2 linked regions of the Canis lupus familiaris genome follow. The protein of the gene in region 2 interacts with the protein of the main gene of each other region in a pairwise test. Links are inferred from orthologs where the notes say so. Each region holds a gene or a part of one and is shown on either strand. Other genes may lie near its edges.

Region 1 (3,804 bases), on a different chromosome or scaffold from region 2:
CCGAAGGCCCAGCGTGGCGCATCCGCGGTGTGTCCTGCAGCTGCAGACACGGCCCCCCGGGGGCCGTGGGCCGTGGTCCGCTGCCTCTGGGCGCCCCTCGGTGGGGGGGCATTAGCCTGGGGAAGTTTCCTGGAGTTTGTCGGCTCCTTGGCTCCTTCTCGGTAGAGCTGCATACGGGTTCACATCCAGTCCTCGGGGTCTGTGTTGCCCGCAGCGGGTTCCTGGCCGTGATGACGGGCGCCTCTGTGTCAGTCAGGGTGCCTGGGAGACAACGACGTGCTGGAGCCGCTATGTGGTGGGTCACGGTGTCGGGGCCCTGCTGCTTGTACGGATCTGTGTGTACGCTCGGCTCTGCCGGCCTCCGCCCCAGCCAGGTGTGCGTGCCTCTGCAGCAGGAGGGCCGGGAGCCGCGGGGGCTGTGGCTGGGCTGCCCGGAGCCCAGAGCCCACAGTGGGGCCGGTGCGTTGGCCAGTCTCTCCCGCTCCGGTTCTGACCGTCCTCACTGCTTTCTCCTCGGTGAGCGTCTGCGTTGCAGCCGTCCCCCACAGCCTCGGGGCGAGGAATCGCCCCAGGTCCTACTTTGTACTGGATAGAGTCTACTAGCGTTCCGGAAATTTCTAACTGTGCCTCTGGTGTTCCTTGAAGGGCATGGATCCCTTCTGAAAACATACAGGACATCACAGTCAACGTTCACCGGCTGCACGTGAAGCGCAGCATGGGCTGGAAGAAGGCTTGTGACGAGCTAGAGCTGCATCAGCGCTTCCTTCGTGAAGGGAGGTTCTGGAAGTCCAAGAACGAGGACCGGGGAGAGGAGGAGGCGGAGTCCAGCATCTCGTCTACCAGTAATGAGCAGGTGGGTGTCCCTGTGAGAGGCGGCTGTGCACACAGTTGACGTGCCCTTCCCTTCTACAAACGTTGGTACAAAACCCACCCACGGGCCACCCGCAGCCTGGTCCCGAGCCCACCAGGGCCGAGGCTGCAAGGATTTGGGGGAGCTGAGCACAGGAGGGAACAGGTTGCTCACTGTTGTCTGTAGTGTCTGCAGTAACACGCTCTTACTTGTGTGATGCCCGCAGCTAAAGGTCACGCAAGAACCAAGAGCAAAGAAAGGACGACGTAATCAAAGTGTGGAACCCAAAAAGGAAGTAAGTTGCCCGCCCTGCAGTGTCCAGGTGGGCGGCTGTAGGAAGTGCCTCCCTGTCGCGGTCACGACGGTCCGCCCCAGGGGTGCCGTCCATACCCTCGGCCCAGCTGGAACCCCACCGTCTGCCCGCCCGCCCGCAGTGCCAGAAGAACACGCACCAACCTGGAGTCTGCGTCGCACGGGGAGGGCGCTTTGCTGCACTTCCTGGAGCTCTCCTAGTTACTCAGCATTATGAGAAGCGGAGCATTTACCCGATCCTTCAGTTAGGTCAACGTTGAAAAACTGGAGGAAAGTGTGGCTACGCTCCGCCTCTCAAAGTTGTATGTCCATGCTCTAAAACCAGGTACTCATCTGGTGACCCATGCTCAGGACATCTGTTAATGAATCTGGTCCACAGCAGCGACTAAATTGATAAGGGTTTTACGTCTTATATGGTATTTTTCTTTCGTCTGTCTGGAAAGCAAAGACTGTAGTGTTCATATGCCACAAAATGAAGTTCCTGTTTTAAATTCTTGCTATTCATTGCGAGAAGTTTTGGGGGCTTTTTTTTTGTTTTTGGTTTAGTTGTGGTAAACTACACATGACACAATTGACCATCTCAATTACATGTTTTTTAACAGTAGTTCATTACCCTAGTTTTATCCTCCTAGAGCTCGTTCTGGAACCAGGACTACTAACAGGCGGCTTCGTGTCGCGTCTCAGCACTGTCCTTGCTCTGCAGGAACCAGAGCCGGAAACGGAAGCCGTGAGTTCCAGCCAGGAGATCCCCACCATGCCTCAGCCAATCGAAAAGGTGTCTGTGTCAACTCAGACCAAGAAGTTAAGTGCCTCTTCACCACGAATGCTGCATCGAAGCACCCAGACCACCAGCGACGGAGTGTGTCAAAGCATGTGCCACGACAAATACACCAAGATTTTCAATGACTTTAAAGACCGAATGAAGTCTGACCACAAACGAGAAACGGAAAGAGTTGTGCGAGAAGCTCTGGAAAAGGTAAGGCCACCTGGAGAACCCTGAGCGTGACGGGAGCGCTCCGGTAGTGCGTAGGCAGCTTCTCTTGGGCATCAGCCAGGCAGCTCCTTTTTAAAACTAGAACCATCATATAATACCTTTTATAACGTTTGATTGCTAGTAAACCTTGTTTTCCTTCACCTAAGACGTGTACTGCTCTCAATGAAACACAGGGAGGGGGTCCCCCCTTTCCGTAGGAACTGTGGAGTGAGGTGTGTGCATCGCGGGCGGGCCAGTCACGAGCTAATGTTCTCATTCCAGCTGCGCTCCGAAATGGAGGAAGAGAAGCGTCAAGCTGTAAATAAAGCTGTAGCCAATATGCAGGGTGAGATGGACAGGAAATGTAAGCAAGTAAAGGAGAAGTGTAAAGAAGAATTTGTAGAAGAAATCAAGAAGCTAGCAACACAGCACAAACAACTGATTTCTCAGACCAAGAAGAAGCAGTGGGTAAGTACGGTTTGTTCTCAGAGTGTGACCCATGAACATGTTCCACCCAGTGTCATGGTGGTGAAATGGTCTGCGATGCAAGTCACCTCAGAGAGACCTACGTGGTTATGCCAAGTTTATACCTGAAATAAGCTCAAATGTGAAATGATCAGCTCTAGATGGGTTTTATATTTTTACTAGAAGTCCTCTCCCCGGTGAGCTCCAGGACCCCCGTACTGAGTACCGCTCAGGATTACTTCGCTGAGTCTGTGAACCCTCAGACGTGTAGTTACTGTGTCTGATTTACGGGACTACATCCATGCACGCGCCGTCCCCTGAGGTTGGCCTGCTGACTCCTCATGGCCAGGGCTCAGTCTCTGGAACCTGGTGTCAGCAGTCGCGACAGCAAATTAAGGATTTTCAGATCATGCTGCACAGCGTTTATATGTTAGTCTTTTCACTCGATTTACTATTCGATGGTGACGTCTCATGAGCCTCTGACTCCACGTAGAATCTGACACACGGTTCCTTTCTCACCATGTCCTGTTGGCGGCTCTTCCCTAGATTGGGAGCTCGGACCACATCTCAGCTAACTGGTGGGGGAAACGTTTGTGAGTCTTCATGGGATCCAGACTACCTTTTCTGAAGCAGGTCTTTCCACGTCCAGTAGGTGTTCCCTCAGGAAAGTGACCACTACAAATACCGTGATAGAGAAAGAAAAGGGAACTTAGCATCTAATTCAGAACTTGATAGGAAAAGCAGATGAGTAACGAGATAAATACCGCTAGACAGGAATTAAGGTGTACTCCAGATAATCCCCCGCGCCAGGCCCTGGCGCCCTGTCATTCTGTCTCATGCAAAGACAAGAGAAAGCTAGAAAGTGGGCCCTAGACTTATAAGGTTACTGAGGAATCAAAGAAATGAGAGGAGAAGGCTGTAATAGGGAAAGGGAACGCTGCTCGTCTAGCATTCCCCAGCCGTGAGACTGCTGAAGCCCTGCTGGTGGGTCTGCTTCCCTGCCTCGTCCCCCACGTCAGTACCGCCCTGCGGCGCCCATCACTGCCAACACTCTGTGTGTCTCCAGCTTGTCGCAGCTCCAGGGTTTCTTCTTTCTCGGGGACAGACAGTACTCCACTCATCATCATCTTTCTTCACCCATGCCCTGGTGGACGCGGAGGCCGTGCTTTGCTGCACGTGCGGCAGTGAGCGTGGGGCTGCTCAC
Region 2 (3,904 bases):
CCAGCCTAGTCTGTTCAGAATTGAATACAAAACTAGAGCTACATGCACTTTGGGGAAACCAAAGAATAGCTCACATGTATAATAATGCTCTAAATGTGCAGCTCTCAACTAGTTTACACTTGAAATGTGTTTGAGAAGACATTTCTATGAAAGACATTAAAGCTCTTTTAAAAATACTAGAATGGTTCAAGAAATCTGTATGAATCATAGCTGTCATCAGGTACCCAAGTCTTACTTGATTTTTTTCTCATTTTAATCCTGATCATTACATAAAGCATTTGAAGAGGTACTTCTACAAAAGACTCACTCTTAAGTGAAATGCTATCATTTCTATATTGAACGAACCCAACACTTTACATTTTACTTTGCGTAAAATTAGTTAGCTTGGCCCTAATGCTTGGAGTAAGGAGAGACAGATTAGGAGGAAAAAATATTCATGAGGGCCCTTTTACATCCTGTGATGCATTATTGTCTTTGGCAGCACCCACATTTCTTTTGCCTGAAATCAAGAGTCAGAATTGCTCCTTAAGAAAATTGTTTAAACTCTATGGATATACTAAGGCCGTGTGAAAACCAACTCCCGTTCATCCTCACTGATGGCATAAAAACATAACGACTTTTGGGGGGATAATTTCTCAGAAACAAGGACAATCCATGTAACACCGTGTAAGACAAGTTAAAGCTTCCAGACAAAGACTGAGATGCAATGACCAACACCAACAAGTCTAAAGGCGCACTACCGTAGGGAAGGCGCGCGCGCGCGCACACACACACACACACACACACACACACACACACAGTCCAAACCCACGAATAGGCACTAGTCCTGGAGGGAAAGCTGCTGCTTCCTCCCTGTGAACTCTATTTCCCAATCCTGTGATTTTCCTCCCTTTTCTGTTATATTCTCAACCTCCAAGAGAACTGCTTTTTCAAGTTACATGCAATCCCCACCTAATCACATTACAAACTATCAGCCTTTTTTTTTTTACATCCCCCCCCCCCCGCCCCTTAAAGATGAGCTCCTTCTGTTTTCAGCTCGGGGTGGGGGGGGGGGTGACGACAGAACAGCGCTGTAGGATCCGCACTCTGCCCAGCTCTGCACCGCACTCCTCGACCCCCCCCCCCCCCCCCGCCCAGTCTCTCCCCGGAGCCGGTCACAGCTGGCCGCTCCGCTCAGCGCTATAACCTAAACTTAGGATATCCAACGGAGCCTTCTCTTCCAGTGGGGGTTCTGCTCTCTCCTTACTGTTACCTACAGCGGGGAGAGGTGGAGGGAGGTGCACGGAACAAAGAATTCCAAGTCCCTCTACCCACAACTTCAGGGTAAACCCCCAGGGGAAGGGCATCATCCGCCAGGGCTCCTCGCGCCCTCAGCCCCCGCGCCTTGTCCCCTCGCACCCCCTCCGCAGCCCTTCCTCCCTCGCTGAGACTGCGAGGCTGTTCCCGTTAGGCCCCGAGGCTCGGGCGAGTGCCCGGTGGGGCCTCCCTCGTCTCCCTCCTGCAAGGGGACGGGGACCGCTTCCATTCTCTTGAATGAACTTCGGAGTGCCAGTGTGCCTCTAAACGGAAGAGAGCTCGTCGGGACTCGACTCCGAGTCTTGCCCCCCAGGGGCGGGCACGGCCTGGCCCCGAGATGGGCGCCGAGCCTTCCGTCAAGTGGGGGGCAGCCCTCCCGCGGCGCGTTGCCCGGGGGCTCCGACGCCGACTGCGCTCGGCCCCGCAAGGGGGGCTCTGCTCGCCGCCCCGGGGGCAGCACCCACCAGCCGGCGCGCGCCCCCGCGGGGCGGGCCTCCCGACCTCCGCCAGGACCCTCCCCGCGCCCCGCGGCGCCCCCCCGCCCCGGCGGCCGCGTCTTCACTCCGCTCCAGTCCCAAGTTGCTCGGTGCTCCCGTAAGAACGGGGGCTGACATGACTCCTCCCAGAGCCCCCCGCCAGCTCCCTCCACGGCCGCAGACACCCCGAGGGCGCGAGGGAACCTCAGGGGCCGTCCCTCGGCGGCGACTCCCCGAGGCCGGCAGGCAGGCGGGGTCCCTCCCCCTCAGGCGCCCCGCGCCGCGTCCTCCTCGCCAGCCGCCGCCGCCGCCGCCGCCGCCGGCGCCCGGAGCCCCCGGGGTCCCTGCCCCGGAGCCGCCTTCCCCCGGCCGGCCCGCGCTGCCGGTTCCCCGCGCCCCCACCCCGCGCGGTCCCCCGGGCGTCCCGGCCCGCTCGTCCCGGAGCCCGCTCGCGCCGCTACCTGCAGGGGCCGCCGCGCCTCTCAGCGCCCCGCCGCCGCCATCTTGCATTTCAAACCGGCTGCACTTTTCAGGGAGTCAACTCTGACCTGTGAACCCTACACCCGGAACCGCTCGGCGGGCCGGCACACGGCCTCGGCAGCTCGGCGGGCCCCGCGGAGCGCGGAGGGTCGGGGGGTGGGGGTGCGAGGCGAGGCGCGCGCCCCAGCGGCCGACCGGGAGCGGGGAGGGAGGGAAGGAGCCGGCCGAGGCGGGGCCCTCCCGCGCGCACGCCGTCCCCGCGCGCCCCCACCCCGCTCCGCGCCGGGCTCTCGGCTCCCGGACCCCGCGGCTCCCCTGGGGTCCGACCCCTGCCTCTACCCTCAGGATTGGCGCACTGGGAGGTAGGGCGCCGCCCCGCCCCTCTGTCAACAGAAGCCCCGCCCCTTGCCCGCGGTGGCCCCGCCCCCTGTCAGCAGAAGGCCCGCCCACTCCGGATCATGGAGCGGCCCCGCCCCTTGCCCGCGGTGGCCCCGCCCCCTGTCAGCAGAAGGCCCGCCCACTCCGGATCGCGGAGCGGCCCCGCCCCCTGGTCGCGCTGGCCCCGCCCCCTGTCAGCAGAAGGCCCGCCCTCTCCGGATCGCGGAGCGGCCCCGCCCCTTGCGCTATCAACAGAAGCCTCGTCTTAACTCGGGTCGGTTCCCTCCTCCTGTCACTTGTGGGCCTGCCCTCTGGGCGCTCCGCCTTGCTACTGTCACCGCCGGACCTCAAGAAACGCCCGTTGTCAGCGTAAGCCCCGTCTCCCGGGGGCGTCCGCCCAAGCCCCGCCCCTTCATCGGAATCCCCGCCCACTGTCAAAAAGAAGCCCCGCCTGGCCGAGGCCCCACCTTCTGTCAACCTCCGCCCCGCCTCTTCTCGCCTGCGGGTCCCCGCTCCACCACAAACCGCAGCTCCACCCGCTGACACCGAAAGTTCAGTTCAGCCTCGCTTCCAACTGTCGTTGAAGACGGAGCCACCCTTTGCTCCCCTGGAACCCTCCTTTCCCCTCTTACGAGCCGCTCTGCTGAAAGGCTTCCTTTTCCAGCCGAGCTCTTCAAACCCGGACAGCTTCCATGGGCACTAGTCCTGCAGAGAGGGGGGCCAGCCAAGCACCCAGGCGTCACCGCCCCTCCTCACCACTCCTCCACCATCACTTTCAAAATTATGAAACGTGCAAACCAAAGGGATGAGAAATGTTTCACTCTCCAAGCCGCTCTGCACAGATTCATGAGCCTGGACGCTGGACCCTCTGTGCTTTGACAGCAATGCTTCCCTGAGCCACATTAATCCTAAAACGTGCAGTTGCTTAAAGTGAAAGCCTGATTGTTGAAATCAATGTACACCAGCTTCTTTATTTGTATGTTTCGTCTTAGAATCCTAGAACTTGGGGAAGCAGAAGCAAGCAAAGCTTGATGATCTTATAAGCAGAGTACTCAACCCTACCATACTCAACATCCCCGTATTTACAACATAAATGTAACACCACTTCACTCTCCTAGAGCTAAATTCACAGATAATGTAAACTACACAAATAAATTCAATAAACCAGTGTAATGTTATAAAGGTGGAAAAAGAGAAAGTTCGAAAATACTATACTAATATCAAGGAAAACAATAAAATATGTTTTGCACTGTGTAAACACTCTGGCCCCAATA

The links.
Region 1: the proteins of ZHX1 (region 2) and ZMYND11 interact in a two-hybrid assay, tested with the Homo sapiens proteins (2 studies listed by BioGRID and IntAct). The link is inferred for Canis lupus familiaris from reciprocal best matches to the Homo sapiens genes ZHX1 and ZMYND11.

What each region holds. Positions count from the first base shown.
Region 1 is NC_049223.1:33,552,492-33,556,295, reverse strand, and holds part of ZMYND11 (zinc finger MYND domain-containing protein 11), read left to right. Parts: intron 1-645; coding exon 646-853; intron 854-1,076; coding exon 1,077-1,145; intron 1,146-1,865; coding exon 1,866-2,138; intron 2,139-2,417; coding exon 2,418-2,603; intron 2,604-3,804. UniProt on the Homo sapiens protein: Chromatin reader that specifically recognizes and binds histone H3.3 trimethylated at 'Lys-36' (H3.3K36me3) and regulates RNA polymerase II elongation. Does not bind other histone H3 subtypes (H3.1 or H3.2).
Region 2 is NC_049234.1:22,064,130-22,068,033, forward strand, and holds the start of ZHX1 (zinc fingers and homeoboxes protein 1), read right to left. Parts: upstream 2,405-3,904; 5' UTR 2,234-2,404; intron 1-2,233. UniProt on the Homo sapiens protein: Acts as a transcriptional repressor. Increases DNMT3B-mediated repressive transcriptional activity when DNMT3B is tethered to DNA. May link molecule between DNMT3B and other co-repressor proteins.